Linked DNA regions of Oryzias latipes. The protein of the gene in region 3 interacts with the protein of the main gene of each other region in a biochemical or structural test. Links are inferred from orthologs where the notes say so. Each region holds a gene or a part of one and is shown on either strand. Other genes may lie near its edges.

Region 1 (9,652 bases), on a different chromosome or scaffold from region 3:
CTTCACCATTGTGCTATCTTTTGGGGTCCAGATGACCCCACTCTCAAGTGGGGTCAAAGAGTGGGTTAAAGAGGCATTAAGGCCAAACTCAAGAAGAGCTAAATGATAAACTCTTTTCCTCACCGCTAAATACTCAAAAAGAAATGTTGTTTTCACCATGGAACTTTTAGTGCTTTTCTTTGAATGAACCCAGCAACACGACAACGCTCAGTGGCCTCTAGCATGTGTGGAAACCCCACAACCCTTAAAATCTCAAAATAAATGCAAACAGAATTAAAGCTGCGAGCAGAGTTGTATAGACCGCAGGCGCTACCCGCCAGCCCCGCCCACCTTTGACCCGAACTTACTTGCTATGACCCACATATGAAAACCCGCCGACCCCCCCCCCCCCCCCCATTCCATCCCTGTCAGGCTGGTCAGAGCTGCATGTTATTGTTCGTTTGTTTTTAATGGCGGCTTTTCTGTTGGCGTTGTCTCCATAGCAACCATTTTACTTTTGGTCACGTGAGGATCCTGAGCAGATCTAAGGAAGTTTCAGAAGAATCTGCAGAAGCAAGCTTTTGGATTTCCTTAGTCACAGAGGTTATTTGGTAACCACGCCCACACTCCTAATATGTTCATATCCTATCATTTTTTTCAGCCACGTTCCATGCTTTACATTTTCACAATATCCCGTAAAAAATAAAAATAAAAATGCAAGTAAGAGGAGAACGCCACTTTTGCGAGCTCATCGTGAGCACGGCATTCAAAATCTACAACTTGTAATTGCAAAGAGTGGAAAGAGATTTCAATCATAAATAAATATATATTTAAATATAATATATTATATAAATATATTAGAACACAACAGTAAATATTTGTTGTACTGCTCTTTGATATTACCATATCTCACTTACTGTATAGACATTTGTGGGAATAATTCTAAGAGTTCACTTCATCCTCTCTTTTTACTTCAAAAACCAGCCGTCAGAATTGTACATAAAGCCGGAAATATTGATCATACAAACAATTTATTTAATCAATCTAGACTTTTAAAACTGTTTGACCTTGTGGATTTTTACACCAACAACTTGTATACAGAGTCAGTGTGAAATTGTTACCATTCAATATCCAGAAACAGTTTTTAGAAAATGAAGAAGAAACAAACTGAGGAAATGTAGGAACTTCAAGATCAAACTGATAAGAACCACAAAGAAAAGTTTCTGTGTGTCGGTGTGTGGCACTAAACTTTGGAACGGGTTCAGTAATGAGCTCAGACAATGTTCAAATATCCAAATATTTAAGAAAATGTAGAAAGAAACTCTGATTTCAGGATATGAAGATAAGAGGAGTTAAGGATCAACAGGTGTTTGAATGATTCCAAATTATTTCCAAAAATGTGTAAACTTGATTGTGTTGAAAGAATCAAAGCTCTTTTAATTACAACCAATGAGTATTACATTGTAATGTGCAATAATGATTAGTGAAATGTTTAAATTACAATCAATAAACTATTGATTTTCTTTACTTGATCTGCAATGTGTAGCAATGATTACCGTTTTATTGTGATCATGTGTTCTAATAATCAATGATTATTACATAATGGATACTGTTACTGTTTACTGAAATCATGAAAGAAAGAATCTGTTGGATCAGAACCAGATTACAAAAACTGTAAAACTATAAAATAAATTAACTGAGCAGGGGTGGGATTATATAAATTCGCTTCTTTCTGCTCCTTTTCAAGCAATAAATCAACGTTAATGATCACTGTATTTCATTTAGCAAATGTGATTTAAGTGACTTTTTTGTTTTGTTTTATTTTCTGTCTTTTTAAACTATGCATTTCAACATTTCTGTAATGAGTTTGATAAATATGGGTAAATTATTTATTCCTTCGACTACAATGCTTGAAATAAATCAATGAATCAAATCAAAATCCCCCCCCCCCCCAATCCCCAATGAAGTCAGGAAATGCTGGATGAAAAGTCCTGTGGAATATTATTATTTAATTCCTATGAAATTTATGTCAACAAAACTCCAGGGGGGTGAAAAATAACTCGAACAAAAAAAAAATTATAATTAAAAAAAAAAAGTTTCCTTTTCCCAAATAAAGGGAAAACGGGAAAATTTCCAAATTTCTCATTTTGTCACATAATGCCAGCCATAGGTCCTGTGGCCATCCCATAATGATTTCAAAACTTCCTTTGGATATCCCTGACATGTTTTTTGATTTCGTCAGAGGATATGTACTTTTTTTTGGGGGGGGGGGCTCCATTAGCGATTTCCCACCCATTTCTTTTTTTTTTTTCCCCATTTTTGTCTGCAATTATGTCATCGTTTTTTTTTTTGTTGTTGTTTTTTTTGGGGGCTCCCTTCAGACAGACAGTGACCTTCACTGTTACAAAGAACATTTCAGAAATAGTCCTTCTCACCGTTCGGCATCGCGCTCAAGCACAGTCACTCACCCCCCAGGTAACAGACACTTACATTTGGTCATAACGATCAGGAACCTCCGGATGGAGAACCTGAAACGCAGGCCGAGGCTGAAAGGGTTCAAAAATGACCTTAAAGATGAGCTCAGGGAGCAACAAAAGAGTGACAAAGCTGCCACTCAGGTTAATGACCTAAATACAAACAGCTGAGGATCTTTAGGACCTAGAACCAGGAGTGACTGGCAGGAGAACACAAACCTGAGAGCAGAACATGAGAGGAACCAAACCCACAGACATCATCCTCACACATCTCAAAGTTAAACCTGGACTTCTTTTAGACTGTTTGAGTTGTGCAACGTTGCACTTTTTCTTCATATTTATCGTTGTTTTTTTGACAAATGAAAATGTTCCTGTTTTTCATCTCCCCCATTTTCCTGAGTTTGGTCAGAGTGGTTCTTTCATTGTTTTCGGGTGGCAGCGGGGGTCCGTCTTCCTGACTGGTTCCTTTTGTTGATTTCTCCTTATTAGGAGAGATGGTGCTTGTAAAAGATTCCACTTAGCTATAGACCAATTCAGTTTTCTTAGCTTTCCAGCCATAATATAAAATTCCCAGATATACAATTCAATCTCCAAGTAGGTTATACCTTAAAACATTGTAGTTTGGTCACACGCTTCTCTCCTGCTTATTTTCTTACAGCCTGACTGCAGTTTCTGCTTTTGTCGTGACGTACAGGAAATTCATTTTAGTTCCTCGGGACTGAAACAGAATGGCGGCGCAGCTCAGAACCCAGGTTTTCAGCGGCCTGCAGCGTCTAATCTCATTGGCTGTGTGCCACATGGGGGGGGGGGGGGCGGGGGGGGGGGTTTGCTTCAGAGGAGGGATAATCCCTAAACTCACCTTCCTCATTCATGCTCTGACACACCAGGTGTCACAGAGACAAGTCCCCAAAACAAAGAGAAGGAGCTTCGTAACAGCTCCTGCAGCGGCTGCTAAAACTGAATAAAGTTTCTCATGAAAAGACCTTTGTCTATATTTGGACACAGATGCAGACAGCAGCATCGTGTAACCCTTGTGCTATCCTAGGCTCTTTAACGATGGGAGTTGGGTCATCTAGACCCACTAGACAGTGCTCTGAACCTTTTTTCTTCAATGATTTGTGATCTTCACTGGTGTCCATGGATTACATGAAATCTTTCCACCTTTATCCACCTTTGTCGTGGTAGGGAGAACACCTCAATGGAAGGGGGGGGTCATCTAAGATAGCACAAGGGTTAAGGGAAGAAAACCGTTTCCATTCATAGCAGAACCAGAGGGAAAAGATTCACACACACAAAAAAACAAACATTTGTGTTGTTCACAAGCTTTCCATGTGTGGTTTCAGCAGAAATGTTGAGCTGCACATTTTTCCTTTTTGTCAAAAAAACCCCAAGATGTTCAGGAAAAATTCTGATTGGCTGTTCTGGTTTTTTATCGTTTTTGTAGTTTTTCTTACAGCAAAAACTGTAGAAAAATCATCTTTGGGGACTCCTCAGGTTTAACAGAGCAACAGAGAAAAAAAATGAATCAAAGCTTCAGAACAAAAGTTTTATTGACAAAAAACTCGTATTAAAGGGAAATTAGCCGCTGCCATCCACTGCTTTGATTCCCACAAACTGCAAGTTTGGCATTTTAGCAGGAAATTTAAGAACGCAGCATGAAGACAAAATGCAATGGAAAAAAAGGATGTAACTCTGAACATGTTTTCACTTAATACTGAACCCACACTGACTTTTATTCTCAGCATCTAACTGTAAATCACTGCTATAAAACTCTGTGTGGAACTAATTTAGACTTTTTTTTTTAATCCTGTCTTTTGAGCGGCATCGCTGCTGAAGGAGTCTCAACTCTGAAGAAGTCCTTCAGCAGCCAATCCAACTCCTCTTCCTCCTCCCAAAAAGGAGACAGGAAGCTGTAAAGGCTGCAGACAGACTTTGGGTGGATCTGCCACCAGGATGTTTGTGTTGAGGACATCATCTTTCCAAACACTGCAGATGGATAAAATACTGCAGGAGGGACACCTCCCTAACAGATGACAGCTTTCCTCTGCTAAAGTTTAAACACGTGCACGTGTGCACAGGTCCTCCAGCCGCCGCCATCAGATGAACACTGGGTGTGAGCCGGGCTCAGAAATACATGTCCTGGAAAAGGTTCTGTCCCATTTCGATGTAAGCCTCCTTCTCCTGCGCAGACATCTGCTCCACCAGCTCGGGCCTCTGGCTCACCTCCCTGTAGGAGAACGGCCGACCTCCCACCATCACCATGGGCTCGTCCCCCACCTCCTCGAAGTCGTCCTCGTCCTCTTCGTCCTCCTCTGGGCGCCGTGCGGCTGCGATGGGAGGAGGACCTGCGGGGAACTCGTCATCTGATTCACTGGTGTCGCTCTCTGAGTCACTGGCGTTGAGGGCGGAGGACGCGGCAGGTCTGGAGGAGGCGCCGGCTCCGCCCACCCCTGGTCCTGCGCCGGCCCTTTTCTCGTGGATGAGGAGGGCGCGCATCACCTCCTCGTTTTCGTCTGTCTGATCGCGAGCTGCAGCTCCGTCCTGAGCCCCAGGCAGAGCGGCTCCATCTGAGGGGACAAAACGTGAATCCATCCCATAAACGGATCTGCAGAAACCGAGCCAATGCCAATGTTTGCAGGTTTTTATTTGACTAAAGAAATGATCGGTCTACTTCCAGGCTGCGCTGCACTAAAGGAACTTTTCTCTTCCATGTTCTAATTCAGGAAATTTTTCTTTTTTGAAGTTTAAAATGAAACTAAATCTGACATTTTGGACAAAAGATTTAAAAAAAATCAAATCAGGAGAAAAAAGTGAGAAAATTATTTCTGCCTTCCAGAATTTATGATGATTTAGATCCAGACGAACAAAGAAAAAAGCTATTATGGTTTATACTCAGCATACAGATAACTGTATGCTCAAAATAAATAATAACTCAAAATAAATAATAATAATAAAAATTAAAATAAAGACCACTGTGATGAAAATGATGTTTCTAGCGAGTTCTTTAGACATTTTTCTGATGATAGAAGACATGCATAAAGAAAATGACGCATAAAATTGCCTTTTGGGGTTAATCTGCCAAAACTGACTTTGCAGAAACTATGTCCTCCAATAAGACTGTTGGCTAAAAACGGCATAAAAAAGAAAAAAAACTCTTTCCTGTGGTTTTTACCAGAGGAATTCATGACTCCATAGTAAAAGTTACATCTTTATTCAGTTTAAAATGCTTTTTTTTCTACAATGTGTTCACAGCCTGAACCTGAAAAACGGCACTGGGGCAACAGAATTGTTCTTGTTTTTTCAAATATAAAGACAATTTATTACTAATAGTGAACTATTTGATATCAATAAAATAAAGAATCTTCTAATCATTTGCAGGTTGAGGATTTCTGCCTGAAGGGCAACAACAGACGCAAACAAAGCAAACAGACAGGATGTTTGGAAGGAATGATTCCTTCATTTCCACAAAAATGGGTTTTATTAATGAGGCGCCCGTGCTCTGCCTCCCACTAATCAAGTCTGTGATTGTTTTAATTGAACAATTATGGTTCTGGAAGGTCTGACCAGCTCTGAGTGTCACATGGCCTTTGGCAGCTTCCTGGACGGAGCCTGAGAGCCTCGTCTGACCTTTGACAGTCTGCTCTGCCTCCCCGACCTTTGATTTAATGCCGACTGTCCTCTGGAGCCAACTGGAGGTCAAGGCCGTCGATTTCAGTTCTTGCTAAGCTCCGCCACCGCCGCCCACTTTCATTTAACCAGACGAAAGGCGGCATTTGAAAGAGCAGACGGGTTTTCTGACGGAGACCCAGCGAGAGGAACTGATCATGAAACATGAACTGGTTTGTAACTGAATTATAATCAAACCTTTTTGGTTCTGTTTGATCATTTTGCTGTACCTGACCGTGTTCCTCGTCTCTGCTCCTGCTCTTACACACAGTGCCTGTATTGTTAACAGACTTCTTAGGTTCCTCTGTTATCAGACACGGTTGTGTTTGTTCACGTACCTGACGTGTTTCGACGGACGTCGAAACACGTCAGGTACGTGAACAAACACAACCGTGTCTGATAACAGAAGAACCTAAAAGGTCTGAGATGACCATTGTGGCACATATTATATGAATTGGTAAGGGAAACGGTACCGCTCTTGAGGGCGTCTGCGTCGCTGTAAGCCCCCTGGACGGTGCTCTGGGTCAACCACACCGGCCGCTCCTTCAGGGCCTTGGCCTCGCCGATCGCCTTCTGCTGCGCGTCCTGCTCGTCCATGCTGATGACCACGTTCTGGGTGTACAGGTCTGAATAGGACGCTCCCTTGGTGGACCAAGCCTCCCGGTGCTGTCCACCGGCGGCGTTTGCCGCCGCCGCCGCTGCGCGTTCCCGACTACAGAGAAGGTTCGGTTAATTTCTCGTCCTCCAAACTTCCTGCAGGGATGACCCCCGATAAGTGGAGAATTACAGACTGATGCAGACCTCTGTTTGAGAGCAGGGATCTCTGCGGGCTCCGGCTCCAGCAGGTCATGGGACAAGTTGACGTCTTCGGTTTCACGTAGAAGCGCGTAGATGGGCTCGATCTGCTCGTTGAATCGAGCCACCAGAGTCCTGCCGTCGGGACAGACAGAACTGTCCTCCTCCACCTCAGTCTGGCAGAAGGTGCAGCGAAACGTCCCTGAAGGTGGAACAAGAACTCACCTTGAAGCTGTGAGAATGAGGAACCTTTAAACCAAACTAACTTGGAGATAAATCAACATCTTTTAGCTCAATTTATTATTTTATTCTCCATGTCTATCACCTTCTATGGCCTGATTTTTGTCCACTTCACCTGATGTTTAGCAGAAATCCTAAAGCAGCTTTAACTCTATAAAAAAATCTGGTTTGTTATGTAAAGAATGAGTCATTTTCATTTTATTTCAGTCATTTTCCGGTGTAGGTACCATAACCGTTCGGCCTGGAACTTCCGTTCGGGATCCTTTCGACTGAAGATAACGTCACACTACAGCAGTGCTTCTCAAATAGTGGGGCGCGCCCCCAGGGGGGGGCACGAAGCGATGCCAGGGGGGGCGCGCGGTGGTGGCGGTTTTAGGCACAGGTTTGTCCGGTGCGCAAATTTAACGTGGGGGCAGCGGTGACAGCGGCTCAGTGCTTGGAAAATAATCTGGTCCACTATTCGGTTCCTATTGTCTGTTCTGTCTGTCCGCGGCTGCGCGAGTGAGAACGAAAGGGGAGGGGTGGTGTGGGCCCTGTCTGCCAGGGGAATCGGGGCACGCGGACCACTGCTACCGCTGCCTGTTGCCCAAGATCACCGCTGCCCTTAGATTCCTAAGCTCATGCTAACAATGTCATTCTTTATGAACTATTGTAGACATTTTGATGACGTGTCTTTATTTTCCATCCATGTTTTCTTTGTCTGCCTGTGGTTTAGTTGGTGTCAGACAGACATAAAGACAGCAGGTAATGCAGGAAAACAGCTGCACTTTTATGAGATCAGAAATAAACAATCCGTCATTTAGAAAAAAAAAATCAGCACGTTTTTACCTATTTCTTCAGACTAAAAACGTTAAATATATTGGTGCTGCTGTGTTAATGTTTCAGATCAATTTAGATTTAATATTATTTATTGATTGAATTATTTTTTTCAGCATCAAATGGTTCAGTTGGTCAAAATGTTTCTAGTTTAAATAAGGAATGACAGATTTTTTTTATTTCAGGTACTTTCAGCTTCTTTTCTGTTTTAGACTAGAACAGGGTTTCTGTGGCTAAATAAAGTTAATATTTGTTGAAAGTGGATTTATTTTGCTTTTTTCTTTTGTTAGTGTTAAAAGATACAATTTTAGGTATACAAATTTTATAGATACTGACCTGATGTATTGTCACCGCGCGAGTGTGTCTGTGTGTGTGTGTGTGGGGGGGGGTTATGGGGGGGGGTCAGGGGGGGCGCGAAACATTTTCTTTTCCTAGGGGGGGCCTGGCAAAAAATAATTGAGAAGCACTGCACTACAGTAACCCCACTTGGACAAACTACGTACGTCCAGATCTGCTCGGGCTCTACAAATTTTAATTTCACGTTCCCTTTTCTAACCCAGTGTTTTTCAACCTTTTTTGTGCCACGGCACACTTTAACCTTGACAAAAATCCTGCGGCACACCAGCATCCAAAAAAATATTTAAAATGGAAAAACTCATAGTCTGTATTGTTCTACAGCCCCTCTGCAATCTCACATGCTGTTTTTTTCTAAAAGATATAATAAAAGTTAAGTCAGAAGATTTAAAAACTGTTTGTGTTCGTTGTGGTTTCAAGACGTTTAACAAAGAAAACTCATTGTGCGCTGAGACGCTGTCACTTTGACCCAATGCATCATGGGAGATGTAGTGATGGCAGACAGACTCTCGTCTCTGAGCTTCTTTGTTTTGTTCACTTTTTCCACGGTCTGACACCGGATTCTGTGGAAAAACTAACCCAGCTAAGGACGAGCTTTAGCTGGTATTTCTGTTGGAACTGAGAGACTTTATGAGCAGAATCAGAACAAGGAAGTGAAGACTTTAACCACTTCTGATTGGTCAGACTGATGACGTGTGATTAAGCCTCCAAGAATGATTGGTGGAGACAGTTAAAGGGGCGGGACTTTTCCTAAAACAGCTGTAGCCACGGCTAAATGGCGGTACCGTCATTCTTATCAAAGTGTCTTTAATAGAATCAAATAAACACAAAGAAAAAAGTATTTTACGATCTTTTATATTCCTAACTTCTCAGTGTTTTATCAGGGTCTGTTTGGATGAACACAGAGCTGAAATCCTGGAGGGAAATGTTTTTACATCAATTAATGAGGACAATTTCCCACCACACACACACTGGTTGAAACACACTGTTGTAACCTAAAGTTATTTCCCCTCATAAATTTTGTCTGACATTATTCTTTGTAATTTTCATAAAGAGATTTTGCCACAATTCGCTTGCAATTCCAGTTAAAGTTCAGCCGTGGCTGAAAATGTTGTCAGCACGGCTAAATGTTCTTCCCGGTCCGTTCTGCCAATAAAGCACTGGTCCAACGGATTAAAAAAAACTATAAGCGAACATGCATTCAATAATAATCATAACAACACGTTTAGAAGACAGAGCTCTGTTTGTTTACAACAGACTTCTTAATTTCTTCTTCTTTGGTAGTATCGTAATTTGTTCAGACCAATCACTATATTTATTTATTTATT
Region 2 (11,555 bases), on a different chromosome or scaffold from region 3:
GAACAAACAAGCTGCCCAAACATGCGACATCACACTGAGCGCAGGGGACTGTCATACAGAATAAACAAGGGGCCTGCTGCCGGGTAGGGGACGCACAACTCAGTGGAGGGCATCGCCGTCTGTGCTCACAGCAATCAGGGGGAAATATAGAGCTAAAATGTCAGAGTTTTTGTAAGTGCAGAGTGAGGGGCGGTGGGCCATAAGAGGAAGGCAGGCTGCAGCTTCGGTGGCCGCGGTTCTTTATGTCTGCACTCCAGGGATTAAAGGTATAAGGCAACATAAACGGCACTGATGAATCTGAAATTACTCTGGATGTAATGTGACCTAATTACTCCGCAGTAAGCTGTTAAGTGATTTCGCCGCTCTTCTCTCCATAGACCACTCTTGGCCTGTTTTTATTCCACGTAGCCTATAGGACAGACTTCTGAAAGCAATCGAATTTATTAGAGTTGAGGAAGTCAATAGTCGCATTGGAGCGACATGAAATGTCAGGAAACAGGGCAGGCGCGCTCCGAAGCAGACTGGTGACTTCTGCTGCGTAACAGGGCAAACGCCTGCAAGGTTTTTAAGAATCTAACACGTCCTTCCTGTTGTAAAACGATCTGTTTTTCACCCGAGCACTCATATGTCTTCTTCTGCTTATTATAAAGAGGTGGAAACGCACGCTGCGTAACCGCTGGCATACACGGTCCCACATGAACACCGAGCTGTCCTCAGAAGAGCCTGCTTTTGTAGGAACTGCACATGAAAGAGCGTTTTGGTTTTCCAGCACTATGCACTGAGCAGCAGACACGGGCTTTTAAGCCCTTTCTTAATTTCTCTGCGCTATAACTCACTATAGCCAGACACAATAACCTTTTGAACCCGGGGGCAACGCTGAGATCTCGGGGTGATTTAATGTGACCTCAGCGCGGCCGGTCAGAGCCCCCTGTATGCAAATCCCCCTGGATTAACGCTGAGTGCGTCTTTTAACATCTACAACCAATCGATGGAGCTTCTAATAATTACATTTGGAATTTTCGGCGAGGCTAAAATAGCGCGGGATTTTGGCGACAAAAGAAAAGTATCTTCGATTATGGGCAGCATGTGAACGCATCAGGATAAAGCAGCCCAAAGACACCCCACAGCTCTCCATCAGGCCTCCCTGCGCCCCACAAGCTCAATGGGCAGAAAGAAAGGCAATCTTCCACATCCAAAAGCAGCACATCTTCTTTTGCAAGTTACTGCATGTATGGATAACGAGTTAATGTAAGACAATGATCCAGATCTGCGGGGAAAATACTTTACCCTGGCTACCATTGTTTATGCATCAAATGCTGACAAGGCTGCTGTTATTAAAGGCAAACAATCCACACTGATCCTGCCGAAGAGCCACGTGACTTTCTCTACAGCCGACACCAGTTGTAGCCCATCACGCTAACTAAATGATCTGTTAGAAAACATGGGGGATGCTCATGTGCACATGGATTTCTTCTTCTTCTTTAGTTTCTTTTAATTTTATTTATTTATTTATTTTTTGGCCTCTGAGTCAACTGGAGTGAAGAACCGAGTCTCCGCGCCACAGAAAGAGACGTGCAAACGAGTCTCGGCACACGGTTACAGAGGAGGGGCGAGGGCGCACAGGAACACACCAGTTAACCGCGGTGGGAAATGGATGAAGTAACGCATTTTGATTATGCAATAAATAAATAAATAAATAAATAAATAAATAAATAAATAAATTGACTGCACCTCCCACAGACTTTTTGGTACCGAATTGCCCAAAATCCGTAAAACGTTTACTGTTTTGCCATGATTTTGTGCGTAAAAAATATAGGCATGATTACTCAAGTAAAAAATAAAAATAAATAAAAAAAATTTGAAACAAAAAAACAACATAGAAAACTGAACGGGAACACACTTTGAATGTTTATATATACCATTTCAGCTTTTTAAAAGTTGTACAAATAAAAAAATATATTTTTGAAGAATTTAACTACCTGATCCAAACATATGTTGGTATTAAAGTATACACAATATATTTAATTTAAAAATAAATATATAATATAATATAATATAATATAATATAATATAATATAATATAATATAATATAATATAATATAATATAATATAATACGTTTTATAGAAAATATCAAGTTTCTTTGTTTAAGTTTAGGGAACAAAATTGATTAAATATTTTTAAAAAACATAAACAGATATTAGATTCTGTGATTAAATTCAAAACAATTTATTTACAATTGTTTGAAATATTTTAAATATTTCCAAATTTTACCAGAATTTCAAACTACAATAAAACTGACCATTTCGTCATCAATCGTGCCATGCAGGGATTTCTGTCTTTCTTTCTCTTTTTTTTTTTTGGTGTTGGCCAGATAAATAATAAGCAACTGCTGACAAAAGGTTTTAGAAAGTTTAGATACCGTTTTGGCCACTGAGAACTGTGTTGCCCTTCCTTTTTTCCTTTCACAACAAACTTAACTTGACCTGTAAAAATAATAATTAAAAAAAAGCCCAGACTGCTCCACATAGAACTCCAAAACCACATCTGAATTACGCACAAGATTTAGGACTATTCACCATGTCAGCCATCAATTAAGCTATCATCAATGTAGGTTAGTTTTAAAAACTTCAGCTGATTACTTTTCAAAGCCGCCTGACACAAGTAACTATCCTCAGTAACTAAGAAAATTAATAGGTCGGCTAAGATTAATCTACTAATAACTTATGTTATTAAGTGCGGCTCTGTGTCCTACAGAGGCGAAGCCCTGACGCATCAGACTTGCATGATCTTTTTTGATCTTAGTCTGTTAGGGATTATTTCCTGCCCCCGAAGACATATGTTTGTACTGGAAAAACAGGGATAAAGGCATGCTGCGACATTCATAAACGCATCAGCTGTCATAAATCACCCCCAGACTGACTATTTCATCTCTGAGCGCCACTATGACACCTGTTCCAAAACGTTGGGAGTCCAACTATTGCCTATTTAAAATGTAGTTCAGATACCTTCAAAAAACTTGCTTATTTAATATTAACAGTATTTGCTACACAATTGTGACTAATTTCGGGTTTCAGGGAGGGGCACTTGATCTGTTTACATGCGGGTCCAAGTGACAGGGGGTGCGTTGAGGTGGATATGTGGCAGGAAGTTGACAAGACAGCATTTCTTTGGGCACACCAGCATCTCGTGACCAGTCCACATCTGACAGCAACACTCCTGACGCCACTGCGCCCATCGCTGCCGTGACCAGAACAGGCCCCCAGTTTGAGATCACAGACATGATCCTGTGTTGACATTTCTGGACACCCACCTGATGTGAAAAGCACGATCGCCTTGAGGCAGCTGTACTCTGCCGAGTCCACGTGCAGGGTCTTAAGCTTCTCCACTTGTTCCTGGAAGATCCGGATGTGATCCATGAAAGCCACGACGCGGTCCGCGGACATCGGGGAAGCGTGGAGGCCCGCTGCAGCGAGCAGAGGGGCCACGTGCAGAGGCATGGAGCATTGGGCCGCGTTAAGAACAAACAACTCGCTCCATGTCAGCCTGAGAAGGGACACCTGGTCGGTGATCTGCAGGTCGGGAAAGAAAGGGATGTTTCTCGCCCACTCCACGGCGCTGAAGAGCAAACGAGCCGCCAGCTCGCAGATGTTCTCGATGCCCATGATATTGTTGGGCTGCATGCACTGGCTCCCGTACCGGGACGTCGGGTAAGGCTCAGCCCGCAGCAATAACGAGATGTATCCGGACAGATAGCAGTGGCCATTCAGAGGGTCTCCGTTTGTCAACGCGTACTGGCCTGGGTTGGGTTGGGTTGGAGGCATTCGTCCTCGCTGAACCGCTGACAAAAAGAAAGGAAATAAAGAGGAAATGTGCATCCAGGACTGGTAAACATTATCCACGAGGATTACAGCCGAAAAGCAAGCTCCAGCTAGTATGTCCCCCTCCCCCCTTTTTTACCAAACTGGCATGCAGTGAAATAAACAACTGATGATAGAACTTAGCAAATTATTCTATCGACAGTCTAGAAACACACAACGTGCCCTTTTATCTTTACCCCAAGTCTGAGAGCAAAACAGCTTTCATCTAACAAATTCCTCATCATCCATATTACAATAGGTCAGCAGTCGAGCTTGTGTTCCTGCTCTAAATTTACGCGCAATTGTGCTTATTAGAATTATTACAAACTGTGTCCATAAATGCCACAAATGCGATTGATAATTGGCATTAAATGCAGCCACAAATGCACATTTTGTTCAGATCAAAAGGTCAGCTGCGAATCAAAGCAATCCAATCCGCGTTTTTTTTGTCCTTTTTGGATTCAAAAAGAAAATATGAAGGTGATTCAGCGCATATTATACGCGGGATTATAGTGTTCTCTGCAAATAATAGACTTAACTGAGGGATGTCTGCATCAATTGGAATCAAACACTTGACGTGGCTATGAAAGTTGTACGGCCTGTTAATGCAGCAGTGAGCACAACAATGAGCCATGGGCAAGTTCAGCGGCAGGATTCGGTGTGTCTGAGCAGGAGGAGACGTGGATTTGGCGAATGGCCGTTTTCCACGATGACGCAGCCAGGATCCAAATCCTGCTGTACATTTAGAAATGTGTAAGCCTGTGCTTAAGGGACTGCTAGGGATGGGACCATTAGCCTCTCTCTCTCCCTCTCTTTCTCTCTCTCTCACACACACACACACACACACACACACACACACACACACACACACACACACACACAACTACACGCACACAAGCCCACCTCTTACAAACACTCACGCGCACACACACTCTCCGACATGTTCACATGTAAGGATAATTCACGATTCTGCGCCATAACCTGCATATCAAACAGGCTAAACTAGAACATTTAAAAACAAAGGTCAGCTGGACGAGACGCTTTGTTCAGACGGCCTGCCTCCATGAGCATCACTGCTGCTGCTGCACACTATACCCCCCCCCCCTCCACTACCACCAAAAATAAAATAAAAAGCCTTCATGTAAACATGGATCAAAAAGGAGTCTGCAGTGCACGCCCGGCTAGAGAGCGCCTCTGACCTTAATGCAACATGGCAGCCCTGCGTGTCTGCACTAAAGAGTAAGCTTAAATATTCACCTTCCCGCCGCATTCCCACTTTTAAACACTTCTTCAGCCGGCAGTATTGGCACTGATTTCGGTGGTGCTGGTCAATGGGACAGTTCCTATTGGCACGACATGAGTAGGTTAAGTTCCTCCGTACACTCCTCTTGAAGAAACTTTTGCATCCCTCGCAGGTGAACTGGCCGTAGTGTTTGCCGCTCGATTTGTCTCCGCAAACCACACATTCAATATGCTGCTGACTTTGTCCAGAATTCTGACTCCCCTTGTCCCCGGCGGTCCCCGGCGTGGACGGGGGTCCCGGCTGGCTGGGGGTCTGCGGAGTGTGCGGCGCCGCCGACGCCGCTTGCTGCTGCTCCCTCGCCGGCTGCGCTGCTGGGTTGGGGCCGTTCGGAGGTCCTCCGGCCACGTCTTCCTGCGGATCTCGCCAGACGCTAACTACCATTGCCATATCTCGGCCACGGAAAGTGCTATAAAGCGAAATGGTCGCTGATGTAGATATAGCGCAGAGGGGAGAAAAAAAAAGAGATCTCAAAAGACGGGGCAGTGCAAAGTCAAATCGGTGCACGCAATCTCATATGGGGTTAAAAAAAACGGCGATCAATACATTCAAAAGCAGGAGGGCGACTGGAGAGGCACCCGATCAGGATTTGCAAGTGTCGGGAGGCCAGTTCCAAGGTAAATTGCAGTCAGCCATTCAGGAATCCCTAATCTTGTAGGAAAACCAGAGTCCAGACGTAACAAATTGCAGTTAGATGCTGAATAGCCACAGAGGAAAGGCAGGATTCACGTAGACGCAGGAACAAGTACAAAAAAGAAGAAGAAGAAAAAAAAGAAGAAAAAAAAAGAAAACCTTGTTGGAAAGAAATGCGATCCAAAGTGCAGCGGAGATAAATTCCTTTCTCCTCTTCCTCCTCTTGCTCCTTTACACTCCCGTCTTCGTCGCGCAGGAGGGCAGGAAAAAACTGAAGAGCTGGATTTTTTTTTACATCTATATATTCTTAAATAAGGCTCGTCATCTCGCCCAGCAGCGGAAGAAAATCGCGTCGCCGAAAGAAGTGCCCATGTATAGTTTCACTCCTCTCCAGCAGGAGGAATGGATACGAAGAAGAAAATGTAAAAAAAGAAGAGCAAAAACACCAAATACTAATAGAATATGCAAGACGAAGGAGAGACCCAAAAAATGAATGCGCTTAAACGGGAGGACCAGCAGAGCAATGTTTCCGAAACGGGGGATCTGCGCGAATGTCTGTATATAGTGAACTTTGACACTACTATTGAAACTGACACGTTTCTATGGAGATCGCTGCGCCTTATATGGTGCTCATGTCAAGGAGCCAAGAGAGGGGCTGCTGGAGACTGATAATCAAAGGCGACTGACTGGCCAGAGCCCTGCATAGAGGAGGAGGAGAGGAGGAGAGGGGGGACAGAGGGAGAGAGAAAATGGGAGGCTGAGGTTATAGCCAAGCCCTCTCTGTTTCTCTATTGGTTAGAATCCCCCTCCGCTTATCCACTGCAAAAAGTGACCATCTCAGAAGTCATCCAGTCTCGTGTTCGGATGTGAAAATGTGATTTTATTCGTAAAATACAGCAGGAACCGTGCATCTGGGTTTGAAATACACCTCCTTGTGTTTACAGTTGGAGAATGTTTTTTACGCCAATATATCGGAGTCCAGAGATGGGGGGGTGGGGGGATTTCTGTTGGAAATACATAGGCTGCGTAAAGGCGCATGATGGATCGACTGGTGTCGGGATCCAGGAAAGGCATTACGCGTCGAAATGGAAGCTTGTGTCCGCCTTGTGATACCAAGCCTCGGCGCTGCACTGAGCGCCGTTTGAGGCGTGGATATTTTTTACAGCGCTGCCATCTACGGCTGGAGGGGCTGGGGGGAATGGAGAGAGGGAGGGAAGGGAAGGGGGGCGGCGGTGTGAGTGTGTGTGTGTGTATGGGGGGTGCTCTGACAGGCGCAATTTACATTGAGCTCGCCCCGCGCTGCTATTTACTTTGAAACCTGATTAGTATGGGCCGTCTATTGTCACCAAAAAGAGGAAGAAACCCTGGATAGAATAGCGAAAAAAGAAGAAAAAAGCGGGGTAAAGGCAAGAGAGGACAAAGCTTTTACGCTTGACAAATAAACGAAAAGCAGCGAAACACCACTCTGCCTCAGATATTGCCCAAAGTTTCGGACCAGTCTGTGTGGAACTGTTGTCTTTATTTTAGGAATAAGTGACATCTTCTTTTTGGTTCAAATTGATTTCTTCTGTTCACACGCTGTTTTGTCCTTGGCGTGCGCATTGCGGTACACACCGCCGTCTGTGAATGGCACAGTTCTGCTCATTAAAACTTACCATTTAGTTTAGATTTAACATAACATAAAGAAAAAAAATATCACAGGAAAAAATAATGCACATTTGTACTGTACAAACGGCGGGTCTTGCAAATGAGCCGAACATCTCTAACAAGATAAGCTGTTTTGGATTATTTCTAAAGTCCTATAGACTGCAGACGGTGGCACGTTGTGTCCTAATATTGACAGTAATTCAAAATGAAATGAAGTTACGGGGGATTTGCATGGGGATTCCGCCTTTTTGTATCAGGGTTTCTGCAAGCTGACTATACCTCTCCTACTCAAAAATGTCTGGATCGCGCTGCCATCTAGCGTACAATGTTCAATTACAACTTCATATGCAAGTTTTCCGACATGCATTTTTAAAAGCTTAAAATCTGATATTAAAACAAGCTTTTCCAAAAAAAAAAAATCATTTTTTAAAAGAAGCTACATTTTTAAATGTGAGCCTCAAAGTGGTCGTTTTTGCATTATGGTTTCCTAAAACTTTTAAAAACAAAGTATTTATCTTACTGAAATAAAAACACTGTCAAAAAAAATTAAAAAAAGAGGATAAAAGAGACGAAAATACTTTTGTCTTAAATTACATGCATTAAAAAGTCAAAAAGACGTGCGTAAAATCTAACAGAAGTATTGAATGTGTTAATAATAAATAATAAATGCAATGGTAGTTTTTACAAAAAAAAGTATTTTTGTGTTAACCATCTCTTACTACGTGGATTTACATTAAGATATAAAGGAGCGTTAATATGCAAGTGCCCCTTTTGAAAACGCACAGGAGGGATGGTTTGTTTTTAAGTATTCAACAAGAGAACTCTCTCTCCCGTCCGTGCGTCGGACACTCCACTGAAACTCCTCGGCCATGTCCCCAGCTCTTTGAAAAGGTGAAACCAATAAGATTAAATCAGACAAAGATTTTTCCCCTCCATCTTAGTGTATCATTAAGATTTAACTCTGCAGACTGGAAAGAGGGTCCACAGGAGAGAAGAGAGGAGAGTGAGAGGGATAGCGCATGGGAGCAGAGTAGACGCTCCAACAAAAAATGTTGGGAAACAGCGAGTGAAAGTGGACGGCAGGATATTAAAGGAGGAAGGAGCAGCAGCAGCAGCGGCGGAGGTTGTCAGCTTTGCAGCTGTTTAAAAAAAAATCATCCATAAGGCAAGTCAAGTTATTTTTCAAACTTCTCTTCCACACGTTTATGGCGCATCTTTATTCCCCATTCACGCAGATTACTGAAACCCGTTTCCAGCGCTCCCCGCCGATTTGTACTGAAAGTAGTAATGCTATTAGAGGCTTGTTGGTACCACGGGACACGGGAGTTCTTTCCCCGAGCGTTCCGCGCACCTCACATGCGAGCGTGTCTGTTGGTTAAACACATAATGAAAGGATCGATAGCCGTCTGTTTGTTTCAGCGATACTGTCACGGGGTATAAAGGAGTGATCAAGGGGAGCAGACATTGGCCATCTTTAAACGTTGTTTTTTTGTCTTCCGCTTTCGCCAGTCAGAGAGCGAATATTATTGATCCGCGGAAAATCTCTGCGCATCGGAGGAGACCGTCATGTGTCAGAAAAGGCTGCCGAAAGGAAATGTAAAATGGCAATGCCTTATGATTGATCAAAGCGACACTATTGATGTGAAGGGACTGCAAAACAGGTCAAACTATTTCGACAGAAAGAAAACATCAGTTAAATAACACACGATCATTTATTTTTCATCTCCAAATGTTACAACAAAGTTTATAATCGTTTAATATTTTACACAAGCAAGTGTATTTTATGACCTGATATTCAGATTTTTCTATGACTACACATTTATGCACGTCTCATAATAATATGTGTACTTAGAGAAAACACATATATATAAGGAAATAATCCCATTGTTTGACATGTCATTCCTGTGATGGATGCATTTACGCAGAGCACAGCCGTTTTACGCACACTTAAATTCAGACTAATGGACCGCTTTGCAGCCTCTAATTAACGGTATTAACGTAAAAAAACAAAACAAAAGATACAAAACTGCTCACAAATTTACAAAATAATTTCTATACACATAGGATGTGCACGCTTAAATACATTTTCACCCAAAACACCAAAACACTCCAGCTGTCCCAAATTGATATGATGCGCACACAGACTCAGAAAATGAAGCTGAACCAACAATCATTTGGGAAAACGCTGAGGTCACGAAGTGCAAGCCCCCCAACATAAAACGAGGAGAAGAAAAAAGAAGAACACATTTAAGGGTGTTTAGAGGGTATTTAAAAACACCCAGCGTATGTAGAAAATGTATTAACGAGGCTTTCTAATATTGATTCTGTGTAAGCAAAGAATGCTGTCAATAAGACATTGCTGAGAGGCTGATTTCCCCTTTGCAGAGGCCTCTGCTCCAAAAGCCTCCCGTGCAGACTGGAGGTCTGTGTTTCTGGACGCCGCCGCCTGCAGCTTTAACACCTGCCTGCAAAGTTAGCGCAAAAGAACAATCTAAAGCGAGTCCACTGATGGGACCTTTGAAGGTGTAAGTATAGGCATTATAGCTCACGGCTGCATGTTTGACTAACGCACTCATTGATCGTCAAATCGAGCAGGAGACGTGGTTGTGAAACATCCCCTATCATTTCTATGGCGTGCAAAAAGTTTGTTTGAAGGGGAATGATGCTGAAACCAACGGAAGTAAACACATAGACGGATCCACGCACTGCGTGAATGCACATTATCTAAATGACCATGACACCAGACTTTCAGAATTTAAAAACAATAGCAGTTTGATATTTGAATTCAATTAAAAGTCAAACATCCATTTATGAGGTTTTACAACTGAACACCGATGGGGTTTTTTCGTCAAATTTGCCTATGTTTGGCAACAAGGGGAAATTGTCTTTAGCAATTAAGGTTCAACGTCACAAAAAGCCCTTCTTGGCCTCTGACCCGTTTGTAGCTGGAAGTTGACCCGCTTTTATGAGCAGGAACGCATTTTCTGCAGTGGAAGCAAAACTAAATAAGACTAAAAATTAAATAGCAATACAAACATATCACAAAATGACAAATATGAATAAAAAATTGTTTTTTTATACTAAAGACGAAGGTTTTGTTATATGGAGTGTGGGGTGAAGAGAGGGGATTTATGGCGAGTAAGGGGGCGCACGGAGCCTCTTGTTTTGTCCACAAGGTGAGGGGAGAGGGATCATTAGAAATCACCTGCCTCTCCACATGGATCTGCACTTTCACACACCTCCATAATTGCTCTTAATGAAAACATTGTGTGTAGAAATTTAAGAAATGCTTTTAAGGTTAAGCATGTAAAGAATGTGCTACGTAACCAAAACAGGAAACTAACATATATGAAATTAAAGCTAACTTATGTTCAATATTTTTAAACCTTTGTTTGTATGTTTTTTTTTGCTAAGGAAAGAACTGTGGTAAAATTTGAAAGTTTTCTTTAAATGGTTAAAAGGTTTAAATGTTTAACGTGAAATGGTGCAGTTCAGGTAATCCTATTCACCTGCAAACATTTCTTTTTTAGTTTTTCTATGTGTGAGGACTCCTTCAAGGAATTTGCGCTCATTTAGTTTTTAGCCATAAACGGAAACAAATCTCTTGCAGGGTTTGGTATCCAGAGACTGTAATTGAAGACAATAACTGCAACGACAACCAATTAGGCTTGAGGTTGGAGTTCAGTGAGAGGCTCTGTCAATTTATGCTATGGGCAATGGCTTTAATGCTCACTAACCATCATTTCTTCAGAGCATGTGTGCTAATTACTTTGGATGGTCCCAGAGACACAGATTATAAATCCATTAGCGCAGAAACCCTCGTGGTTCCATAGTACAAACAATTTATTTTCATAGTGTACCCAAAACCAAAATTTAAGTGCCAAAGACCAGAAGTCGAGACGCAGATTTTCTTTGTGTACTTTTGTGGATACAAGGAAAAAGCTTATCCACCCGCAGCCGAGCAGAATAAACGGAGACGAAAAAGAGTTTTATCAGAGGGATTTGACAGTGGCCAGACGTTTTTTGAAAGTTTCTGCAATATTGTGGTCAACTTTCTTTTTCTGTTTTGAAAGTTCAGGAAAAAGTTAAAGGACGCTTTCCGGAGGGCAAAGAGGA
Region 3 (11,626 bases):
GTCATGTGACCATCCAGTGTCTAGAATGTTCCCTTTGGATTCTCTGGATGTGGAAAAACAACAGTGGACTGAACTTTAGGAAACTAAAATTTGAATGGATTTAACATTCATTCTAGTTGATTTGTTTGTTTGTTTGGACACAGATTTCATTTCCACTTGATGATCTGGAAGAAATCCAATAATCTGGAAAACTTCACTGTTCAGTAGCAGGAATTTCTGTCTGAGTCTCACTGCTGGAAGTTTGGATGAAGATGATCTGGATCCACTTTAGGTCAGAGGATCAGAACGATCAACATAAAACCATGGTACCCGTAGAGTCAAACATCGACTGTTTTGTCTGCTAAACCACTGAATGCTTTTGAGGAAATTCCACCAGAAGTCACAGGTTCAAGGAGAAAGAACAGGTCCATGTTTATGTGCAACATTTGAAATGTTGATCCATGTCATGAAAACCTAAATCTTATTGTGGAACAGAAGGAATTGGTTAAATTTAAAAAATCTGATGGATTTTTGCAGAAATAAGAAATTTCAGATGAGATCAACAGAGATGCAGGAGACTCCAGGGGGTCCGGAAGAGACTCCAGGGGTCCACAGGAGTTTCTAGGGGTCCACAGGAGACTCCAGGGGTCCACAGGAGACTCCAGGGGTCCACAGGAGGCTCCAGGGGTCCACAGGAGACTCCAGGGGTCTGGAAGAGACTCCAGAGGTCTTCAGGCGTGCATAAGGAGTCCACCGCTCTGAACGGCTCAGGCCTTCCCAGAGGGTTTGGTGGAATGAGGCTCCAAATAACTGAAGGTAGGAAATATCTTTGGCAAAAGCTTTTGATATTTTTCAATAAAACGTAAGCAGAAACTTCTTAAAATTTACACAAAATGTAAGAATTCCAGTTTTATCAAAAGATTTTACATTTTGAACCTCTGGTTATACACAGGAATCTGAAAGTGTGAGTTACGTCTTTGGGGTAAAGAATCCATCAGTGAGAAACGTAATGCTGAAGACAAAGTTGCTCACAAATTTGTCAACATTTTACCGTCCTTCAGAAACATTTCAGCAGAATATTTGCAGAACTTTACAAGATGAAGATTTTTTTATTTTTTATAAAGAACCGTTTATTGTTATTCAAACCACGAGATGATTCATGAAAATCGTCATCTTAAATTACTAATTCAAACAAAATAGAAGCTGCTTCTTTTCTACAAAAACAGTCTTAGGGGTCGAGTCTGACACCAGCCTAAAACTGCGAGCATGGCCCCCCCCCTCCGGGACATTTACACATGGTACAGTCTGTACACACAACTGAAATACTAAACAACAGTCTGGAATGTGTGTCCACTTTATTCTGTCGAGGGATCCTTCCTGGCTGAAAAATCCTCCCACCTTCACAAATTCAAAAGCAGAACCAGAGACGGAGGAAGAGGTTGGAGGTTGGTCTTCCTCACAGCTGGGGAAGCTTGTCGACGGGGGTGTCAAACTTGAAGTCGGGAGGGAAAAGTTCAGCAGCGCGGGGGTAGATGAGCCTGTAGGACTGCCTGATGGTGACGTCCGCCACTCCAGCAATGTCTCCAATTTCTGTAGAACACAAGAACCCGGTCTGTAAACTATCCAGAACATCTGCTCCAACAGGAGAGGATGGACCCAAACGGTCCCCAGCCTCATGTTGCGTTTAGGTGCAGACGGACCTTCTCACCGGTCTCTAACATTGGTAACATTGACATTTGGGTCATTTCTGTCGTGTGGTCTCACCTTTCTGAGTCTTCTTCTCTGCAGACGCCTGAGACGCCATGTAGATGGCTGCTGCCGCCACGGAGATGGGGCTTCGACCCGGAACCAAGTCCAGCTCCACGGCCTTCCTCGCAATAAAGGTGGCCGCCATTTGAACCTGCTTGGGCAGGCCCAGGTTGGAGCAGAACCGGGACATGAAGTCCCCCGTGGTGATGAGGTCCACGCTGGTCTCCAGAGCCTTCAGGATCAGCTTGAAGCACCGACCAATCTCTTTCTTGGAGATTCTGGAGACGGCACAGATCTCTGCAGAGAAACGCTGCCGTTAGCTTGGACGTGTTGAAGAAATCTAGGGATGGCCAACATTTGCAGTTCAACGGTATCGGTCTGATATTAAAAAATCTACCGATATTTTTCTGACTGTTTTCAGGCAAATGTTCTTTTTGATAGAGATATGTGTTCTTAATAGATAGACCTAGTTGAGGGGGAGTTTATGGTTACAGTTATGTCCAATATTCAATAAATGCTCTGAATGCTGTCAAATATATTTACATGACGGTTTTAAAGTGAACCATGTTCCTATGAGATTCTGTGCTGTATGTTAAAAAAGTCAAAGTGATTGTCCAGCAACCTCTGCGTTGTTGTAGACACTTGAGTATCTGCAGACATCACCCATCAGCTGCAGGGGGAATATCTGTTGTCGGTATCGGATTATTATTATTATAAACTGGCTGACCTTTGAAGGTTCTGGGGACTCCTTCCTGTCTGCAGGCGATGTAAAGGCAGGCGGATGCGATGGCGTCGTTGGCTCGGCCCTTCAGGCTCTTCTGCTCATAAACTTGCTTGAATAAGTTGTTGGTTCTGTCCTGCAGAGCAAAGACGTTTGTGAAGCTCAGACTGGAAGTGTCATGGAGGCATGAGCAGTCAGGACCCATGCAGAATGTTTCAGGCCTCTGAAGAGGCCTCCTTCTTCCTAGGACCTGAACCTCAATGGTGTTCAGCTTACATGAAAACCTTTATCGTTGACCTGCTCTTAGGCTTCATGCGGTTTTTAGACATGAAGGAATATGAAATCTAACACGGCGTCAGCAGCAAAGAGGAGGGACAGGAACCGAAGTACGACCGCGCTCAGAGGGCGGGACTTAAACGGTCAGCTGATGTGCTCAGATGTTCCACTCACTACGATGTTCCGGGGCAGGTTGATGCGGTCGGCCATGGTGCTGATCTCTTTGAAGGCGTGGAGCATGGCCCGGTCCGAGCTGCTCATGGTCCGCCGGTTCTGATACTTGGAGTTCCCAAATTCATCAAAGCTTGCAGACCCGGTTCCCTGGAGAGAAGAACCCAGAACCCACATGTGGATGAGCCGTGTTTCACAAGAAAGTAACTTTACTGCAACATGAAAACCAGCAGCAACATGAAAAGCAGAAAACCATCAACTTCATGGTGAACGCACAGATGAAAGACATTCACCCACAAGAGGGGATACGTGCCATCCAACCCTCCCTCCCTCCCTCCATCCATCCCTACATCATCCAACCATCCACCCATCCATCCATCCATCCCTACATCATCCAACCATCCATCCATCCATCCCTCCCTCCATCCATCCATCCATCTATCCATCCATCCACCCACCCCTCCATCCATCCATCCATCCATCCATCATCCAACCATCCATCCATCTATCCATCCATCCATCCATCCATCCATCCATCCCTACATCATCCAACCATCCACCCCTCCATCCATCCATCCATCCATCCATCATCCAACCATCCATCCATCTATCCATCCATCCATCCATCCATCCATCCATCCCTACATCATCCAACCATCCACCCCTCCATCCATCCATCCATCCATCCATCTATCCATCCATCCATCTATCCATCCATCCATCCATCCATCCAACCATCCATCCATCTATCCATCCATCCACCCCTCCATCCATCCATCCATCCATCCATCTATCCATCCATCCACCCCTCCATCCATCCATCCAACCATCCATCCATCCATCCATCCATCCATCCAACCATCCATCCATCTATCCATCCATCCACCCCTACATCCATCCATCCATCCATCCATCCATCCATCCAACCATCCAACCATCCATCCATCTATCCATCCATCCACCCCTCCATCCATCCATCCCTCCATCCATCTATCCATCCATCCACCCCTCCATCCATCCATCTATCCATCCATCCAACCATCCACCCCTCCATCCATCACCTGAACCACAGCTGTCACTCTACCACTAGGGGTGCAATGGATCACAAAAGTCGTGCGAGGTGCACACGAGGAGGTGGGGGGGTTATCTGCAGTAGACATGTGTGCTGAACCGTGGCTAGAGATCCGTAGGAATCATCCGTGATCTGTTGGACCCCTATCTACAGCTAACCACAGGTCTGCTGTCCCACCTTGCCGATCATGGTAGTTAGATCTCCTCCGTTGAGCAGAGGGTTCTGGGCGTCTCCCACTCTGGATGGATCTTTCTGAGCTTTCTCGTTGGAGAAGGTTCTCCACTCTGAACCCACATCAATGACCCGGTCACCTAAGGACAGAAGGCGTGAAGAACCAGAACCGTGATGTTAGAAAGGCTGAGTGGAAACTTTGATTACACGCTGAATTACTTGTAATTGATTTGAGCAACAATCTCGTTTTTCTGTTTAAACCGTACTTTGACGGTTCTGGTGGATATTTGTTGATGTGCTTTTGGTTCTTCTTTGACGTTTCTGAGGGATAAATTGTGCTACACTGATCTGTGCACACACTGCAGACGTACTGCTTTGTACTGTTGTGTGTAAATGATGCAGATTCATCATCAACATTAAAATAAGACAATCAGATAAAGAAAATGAAAACTGTGGTCGTTCCAGATCAAAGTCCTGGAGCTTTGATCTTTCTTTGGAGGAAAAATGGCTGAAAATAGATCCGTGATGAGAATAAAATGGACTTCCTTTACAGGTGACATAATTACCATAATTTCCGGACTATAGAGCGCACCTGATTATAAGCCACACCCATTACATTTTTAAAGGATAAACCATTTTGTACATACATAAGCCGCACCTGTCTAAGCCGCCCGCATGTGCCCACATTGAACCATGTGTTGTAGAATGGATGTGTACGTGCTGAAACCGCTCGCCGGCGTGTGTGAGAAAGAGGGGGGAGCTCGTGCAGCGGGATAGGAAGAGGGAGCATTCTCATTCACTCACGCTCCTTCCCCCTACACACCCAGTGTGCTGACACAAACACATACTCATTCTACAACACCTATGTAGTTAGTTCATTAGGTAGATTTAGTTGTTACTGTTATTTGTTAAAGAATAATGCGTTGTAATTATTACTTATACCGGTATTTATTTGGAAACCGCGACACCGTGACTTCTCCTGCTTCTTCATCACCGCGGTGATCAAAAATCCCACACCGTCACAGCTCTATTCCAAACAGTGCCTGTGACACGGCAGTAACACGGCAGCAATACGGTAGTAACAGCACTAACAGGGCTGGTTAAAAAAAACATCGTGGTAGAAGTCACTGAGAGCAGCAGTAACTTATTGGCGCTCGCCTCTGCGCAGCACGAACTTCCTGTGCACTGAAACCATGGAAGTCTTCCTCCTCAGTGTCGGATTGGAAAAGCGTCAGATATTCTTCACCACACACGCTCTGTGTCTCTCCTTCGTTGTCGCTGTCAGTGTCACTCTCATCCTGAGGTAAATTCTCTCCTGAGTCTGCACTGTCCTCTCTGTCACGCAGCAGACCGGCTTTTCCAAACCCGTTGGTGATGGTGGATTTTTTCACACTGCTGTTAACCATTGCTTTTAACTTGAAAGCTGCCTCATATGCATTTCTTCTTGCATTTTCCATGATGAGGGTCTGTTCGTGCTATTCATTCAGAAAGCGGGAATTTACATTAAACTTGTGTCTTCCTCGACACATATACCTTATCCCCCGTCTCACTCTTTCCTTTTCTGCTCGAGCGCCCCTAGCAGCCGTTAGAAAAAATGCATAAATCAGCCGCATCATTGAATAAACCGCAGGGTTGAAAGCGTGTGACAAAAGTGGCGGTTTATAATCCGGAAATTACGGTAGCAGGGAAAAAAAAGCTTTTAGGTTTGTTCAAAGCGCATGTGAAGGTCTGACTGTGGAGGCCAGGTCACACAGAACTCTTTACAGCTTCAGCATCAAGACAAACCTCTCCAGCTATGGACCCATTTTACCTCCAACAAATGTAGGCCAAGTACAGGTTTATCATTGAAGTACTCACCTACAACAAGCCCACACTCGGGGCAAATCATGTCCCCAGCGCGGTAGTCCTCCACCAGGATGGCATCAGGATGGTTGGGACATGTCACTCTGGGTAAACTGAGAGCATCTCCGCTGCACAAGCAAAACACAAATGATAACAAAAATGTTAAAAAGGAGCACAAAAACAACAAATAAATGACGAACAAAGAAAATCCCTTAAAGTCGATGTTCCGCTACATTCTCCAAGGAAGAAGCCAGACACCTTGATAGGATTAACAAATATTTATTAAGTCTACAAACAGCCTATGTTTCCAGTATTTATCAGTCGCCTGGTTCTGTAGTTGCTTGTGTCATCTACCCACCAAAACAAAACGCGTTGAATTATGGGAAATACCCATTTCACGATCGCTTCAACTTTCCTAGCATAAAGAAATATTAACGAGTTTAAGTCCCGGTAAATGTGCGGACGTGCGCGTTTCCACGGAGTTTCAGGCTGATCCAGAACTCCTTCAGGCCAACGTTCAGATGTCAGAGAAACGACAAAACCGGGAGTTCTAACGGGCAGCCTCTTCCGTGAAGCTGCCCGCGAGCTAGCTGGCTGTCACGGACGGAGTACAAAAGACTGAACATTCCCGAGAAGAAAAATGGAGCCCGACACTTTCTACCGCCAGAGTCCCACGGTCAATCACAAGACGCGGTGGTTTTTTACCACGAGACACTTTGAGTCACATTAACAAAGAAAACCGGGCTTTGAACGGTTAGCAGCCATTGCAACTCACCGACTTGTCGAAGCCATCTTCCTCCGCTCTCTTCTCCCGGACGGATGCAGCACTTGTACTTATAGACTATTCTGATCACGTGACCAACTACGGGAAGTCAAGAAGGCCAAATAAGTTTAAAAATAAATAAATAAATAAAGTCAAAAATATTGTGTCACCTTTGGTGAAAAAAATAAACCTGTCCCTTTCTTTTACATTTCAGACCCAAAGCGAATAAATCATCAGACTACATTGCCTGCAATGTTGTTGCCGTTTACACATTTGACAGGTCTACTAGAAAGTTGAAGTTGGGTGATCTTCTTAGTCTTCATTCGTGTGTTCATGATGAATACACACGTTGTGTGTTGTTGTGTTTCAGCTTTTCAGGTTTATGTTGACCCCACAGAGACCTTCAGACACCTGATCGACCATGAGGGGCAGGCTTTGGCCCCTCGCGGGCCAAAGGGTTGATGTGTAAATGAGCTTAGTTAAGGTCGGGGTAAACTAGTCATGGTTAAATTTGGGTTGGGGAACTGTTCAAACCTGAGTGTGTGCTTCAGTGTCTTTTTTTCTCTTTACATTGTTTTTTTTCTTAAGCTTCTTTCATTTATTTTTAAGCTAGCATTACTAAAACATTTAACCAATAAAAACAAGTTAAAGACCCACTTTAATGGAAATCACGTTTTTGGTGTTTTTAATATGTTCTAATGGCATTTTTCTCATGATATGATATGATGACATATATAGAAAATTAATCTTAAAACTGCATTTCTGCCCCAAAAAATGTTTTTTTTAATGCATTACTGTTCACAACACATAGAACAAGTATGTATGACAAGAACAATAGTCATAAAAACGGGACTGCCAGGGGATGGCATATATTACAATAGAAATATTGTAAAACACATCACAATACATTGAATATGTTCAAAGACAGAGAATTTTCATAAATACGTATTCCCTTTTTTGTTTGTGCTATTAGAAATAGTACATAAATACGATTCTAATTCTTTAATAAATACAGGGGGGAAAAGTTGTGAAATTTTGATTTGTTGATGTCTAACTTACTTTATATTATGATTGGATTAATTTTCAATTTTATGTTTGATTTTATGTTCTTTTTATGTAGGCCAAATATGATTCATTCAAATTTCATCTGAAATTGTGAGTCAAATTTGTGATTTATAAAACAAGTACATTCTTTCCAAAACTTTTTTGTAATATTACAGTTCCAAAATAGGTGGCTGATTGTTTCTGGGTGTTCTTAACAAAGAGTACAGTTAGGATTTGAAAAAGCTTGTAGCAGTGACGTAGAACTTGCAACGGCAAACCAGAAGCTACCTGCTCCATTCTGATCATCACCTGCAGACAAATAGATCCATGAACATCTTTGTTTTCCTGGTGTCAGATAAATGCATCTAGACATTAAAGAAAAACACAATTAGAAAAAACAGACCACAACAATAATCAAGTTTGTCATCCACGAGGGAGAAAAGCAAATGTGGCAGAAAATGTCCACCACATTTCTCTTCTCAAATGACTGCTTCTCCCCGTGCTCCTTTTATTAAGAATTCAAGTAGGAGGTAACAATTTCCAGACAAATAGAAAAGTTCATTAGGGGGTGTCGTATAATGACCCATTTGGGTGGATTCTAAGTTCAAACAGTATTCTTTATCAGCTCAGGACAGTGTGTCGTTAAAGCCCCTCATCCTAGCTGGGGATGAGAAACAGATGAACAAACACAGAACTGTTTTCTAAAAAGGTAAAAAGGTAGCTCTGAGTTAACATTTAAACATACATTTAACCAAATACACTTAAACAATGATAATAATAAAACAATTTCGTTCACACCTGGTCTGAGCTGGAATCTGGATCTAAACTGTACGGATGGATAGGTACGATATTTCTGCCATTTTAGTTGCACTGATAATAGATGTGTACATCCATATGTGGTCTTATCACCCTCTCACGGTGGAAAAATTATTATCTGAGCTTCTTCATCCACTAAATCATCTTCAAATGGACACGCCATGCTGCTTCACCTCTCTGAAAACAAACTAACCTTCAACTAAACCTGCTCCAGACCAGGTTATGTTCAGAGCATGAGTTTCTATGAACTAAGCATACCCTGAAACATACCACTGTTTTTGGAACCGAAAGCTGAGGTTATCCACTTCCTTAGCCTCAAACTTACTGTGGTAACTAGCATAACCTGCTTTCTGGAATACCCCCCTGGTTTTCCTCCTTCAGAGCAGCCTAAAGCAAAAGGTCAGCATTACTTGAACACCGCCATGTGCAACAGCAGATGGAGCTATAACCGAAAGAAACTTATTTGGCTATCCAGTTTCCCAAGCTCACTGTTTTCAGAAGAAGACTGTGTTCTCCTTTTAACGGACAGAGCTGCTCGCCGCCATCATTTAGCAGTCAATTGAATTTAAAGGCTCACCGCTGATGTCAGCTTGGATCAGTGACACGACAGCGAGTCACAGTCTATTGTCACACACGGCATCAGCAGAGCTGAGCAGCCATTTATGACTCGATTTGTTTTGATGGATTCAAAAGACATGCATTCTAGGAATTCTGAGTCAGTCAAAAAGTCAAAAGAGTTCCTGCCGCATCTGTGCTTGTCTCAGAAACAAGTCATGACATGATGGCGAGCATGTGCAACAGGCAGACTTAAGGAAAACAATTTTTTCTTCAGGTTTTCTTATCTTCCTTCAGAAATATGAATCATTTCCTGAAGGCAGCATGCCACCTAAACTCAAATATTAACATTTTTGCAGTTCCTGATGTTTTAATTAAGCAAACCTCATGCAGCTACTGCATTCCTTCAGCCTACCACAAGACCACACATGCAGCCCTTCAGCGCAGAGCCGATGCGAGCTGAAAGCAGAGGTCTGTGCTGGGTAATTTACAACAGCGTCTCATGGGATAACTCGGTAAACTGGTTGCCAGGACCATTTCAGCAGCTTTCATTTAAAGGCCAACCCAGACAGGAAAACCACAGTGATTAACCATTAAACCACATACCTCACATGCACCTCTTCTTCTTCAACCACTAGCATGCCATTGCACCACACAAAAAAGCTAAAAACCACTTAATAATGAATCAAAACATCTCCATTACATTCGTTTCTGTCTAAGATTAACTATTTGGCACAAATGAGACGGTCCGTTTTCATGTGGAGTTTTTAGTTCAATACGTTCTTGCCTGAAAGCACGTTTTGGAGGATAACATAGAAGAAGATGACACCCAGCCGTGAGTAAACATTCTTGTGTCTCACTCACACAATGTAGTTTCTGCAATGCAGATGAAACTAGAGAGAAAAAAATGAATAATCTGTTTATTAGTCTGCCGTGATCCTGGTGGTTAATTTCAGATGGTTTATCCCCCACTTTGGTCATTTTCTCTTCTCCATCAGTCACCGTGCAGAACAGTCTGAGTGGTAACAGGCTGGCAGCAGCCAGCAGGTCAGGACCGGTTGAAACCTGTACGGATCGACTGCAACTGACACTTCCTCCCTCCACCCAGCAGTGCAGCATCGGGCAGGTCCAGGAAGAGCTGGGCGGTTATCTTCAGACACAGTTAGACACAAGGAGAGACTGACAGAAACACACAAGTCCTCATGAGTCAGCTAAATTATTACCAAGTCTCACAAGATTGTGCTGCATTAAAGGACTGTTGGAAATACGACACCAAGATGGAAATTTGACTCTGTTTTGTTTAGTTCTATGTGAACACATTTCCTTTTGCTTTAAAATAGTAACTATTGTAACTGCACTACTGAAGCTACTACTACTAAATTTGCGGCTGTTAACTCGTCCTTAAAAACAGATTATTTTCAGAAGATATTTATTGTATACATACAGATTAAATGTATACAGATAGAGAAGACGGTCAATTAACCAGGGGGGTTACTTCACAGTCCTGTTTTTGTTTCTATTTCTAGCCTGATCTTGGCCAAGAAGCAAAATCCTTTGTGGGACTATCCTAACATTATTCCGTTTTGGAGGAAACATCACTTTTTTCCCCGTCTAGTTGACAATACATTTACTGTATTCAGATTAATAATCAGAATGTTGTTGTTTCCGCGCCTTTGCGGGGTTTGATAGTTGAATGTTAATTTCAAAAGTATCCGTTTTTCCAAGCCGAACGTGAATGCAGCGGCAGATAAAAGTGCAGGCGGGCGTCTACAGGAAGTGGCTCCTCCGTCCTCGTCCAATGAGAGGCGCTGTGCTGGACTCCACCAGCGCAGACTGCGGGGTCCATGTTGGTTCTGTCTGCCCTCCCCAACACTCCTCAGGATGGAAGTCTACCTGGAAAAACGGCACCACGCGCGCACTGAGGTATGGGGGTAACCGTTCGGAAAGCCCCGCGACCACGAGCGCCCCCCTCCCACACGCAGGCGCGCGCGCGTCTCCAAACTGAGCTCCTCCAGTTTCAAAGGCGCCGACAAATGAGGTTGAAGACGCACCTGATGAGCGGCTGAGAAAGAAAGTGGCATGTGGCGGGAAGAGGACAGCACCTGCACCGAGATAACCCTACTGTGACGGTGAGGACACGGGGTCATGCTCCCCTCCTGGAAATGTATAGATTAGTCATTACAGATGAGGTCAAAGCACTTCTTTCTCCCGCTAAGTGAAGGAGGTAACGCCGGATCAATGCTGTTGTACCGGGTAAACAGTTTTCTCTTTGCTGATTCTCTCATCCATGTCTGTATGTCACCTGACCCACAAACTGAAAAAAAGCATTACATGATGAACGAAAATCCTTTTAGTTCCTCTTTTGAAGACCTCGTTGTGTTTTGTTTATAACGTAAGTTTAACCACCACGGCCGTTTTCCTCTGATTTAGCCTCACTTGATTCTATCGGTTAATTCATTTCAGGTTT

What was found.
Region 1: the proteins of gtf2b (region 3) and gtf2e1 form a complex in vitro, tested with the Homo sapiens proteins (2 studies listed by BioGRID). The link is inferred for Oryzias latipes from reciprocal best matches to the Homo sapiens genes GTF2B and GTF2E1.
Region 2: the proteins of gtf2b (region 3) and nr2f1 form a complex in vitro, tested with the Homo sapiens proteins (2 studies listed by BioGRID and IntAct). The link is inferred for Oryzias latipes from reciprocal best matches to the Homo sapiens genes GTF2B and NR2F1.

The regions. Positions count from the first base shown.
Region 1 is NC_019879.2:29,661,577-29,671,228, forward strand, and holds the end of gtf2e1 (general transcription factor IIE subunit 1), read right to left. Parts: intron 7,117-9,652; coding exon 6,921-7,116; intron 6,832-6,920; coding exon 6,593-6,831; intron 5,021-6,592; coding exon 4,578-5,020; 3' UTR 3,985-4,577; downstream 1-3,984.
Region 2 is NC_019867.2:15,613,379-15,624,933, reverse strand, and holds the start of nr2f1 (COUP transcription factor 1), read right to left. Parts: upstream 6,500-11,555; 5' UTR 5,550-6,499; coding exon 5,117-5,549; intron 3,841-5,116; coding exon 3,313-3,840; intron 1-3,312. UniProt on the Homo sapiens protein: Coup (chicken ovalbumin upstream promoter) transcription factor binds to the ovalbumin promoter and, in conjunction with another protein (S300-II) stimulates initiation of transcription. Binds to both direct repeats and palindromes of the 5'-AGGTCA-3' motif.
Region 3 is NC_019875.2:5,821,910-5,833,535, forward strand, and holds gtf2b (transcription initiation factor IIB), read right to left. Parts: upstream 6,853-11,626; 5' UTR 6,774-6,852; coding exon 6,757-6,773; intron 6,110-6,756; coding exon 5,997-6,109; intron 4,280-5,996; coding exon 4,146-4,279; intron 3,047-4,145; coding exon 2,900-3,046; intron 2,586-2,899; coding exon 2,456-2,585; intron 2,026-2,455; coding exon 1,744-2,025; intron 1,570-1,743; coding exon 1,436-1,569; 3' UTR 876-1,435; downstream 1-875. UniProt on the Homo sapiens protein: General transcription factor that plays a role in transcription initiation by RNA polymerase II (Pol II). Involved in the pre-initiation complex (PIC) formation and Pol II recruitment at promoter DNA.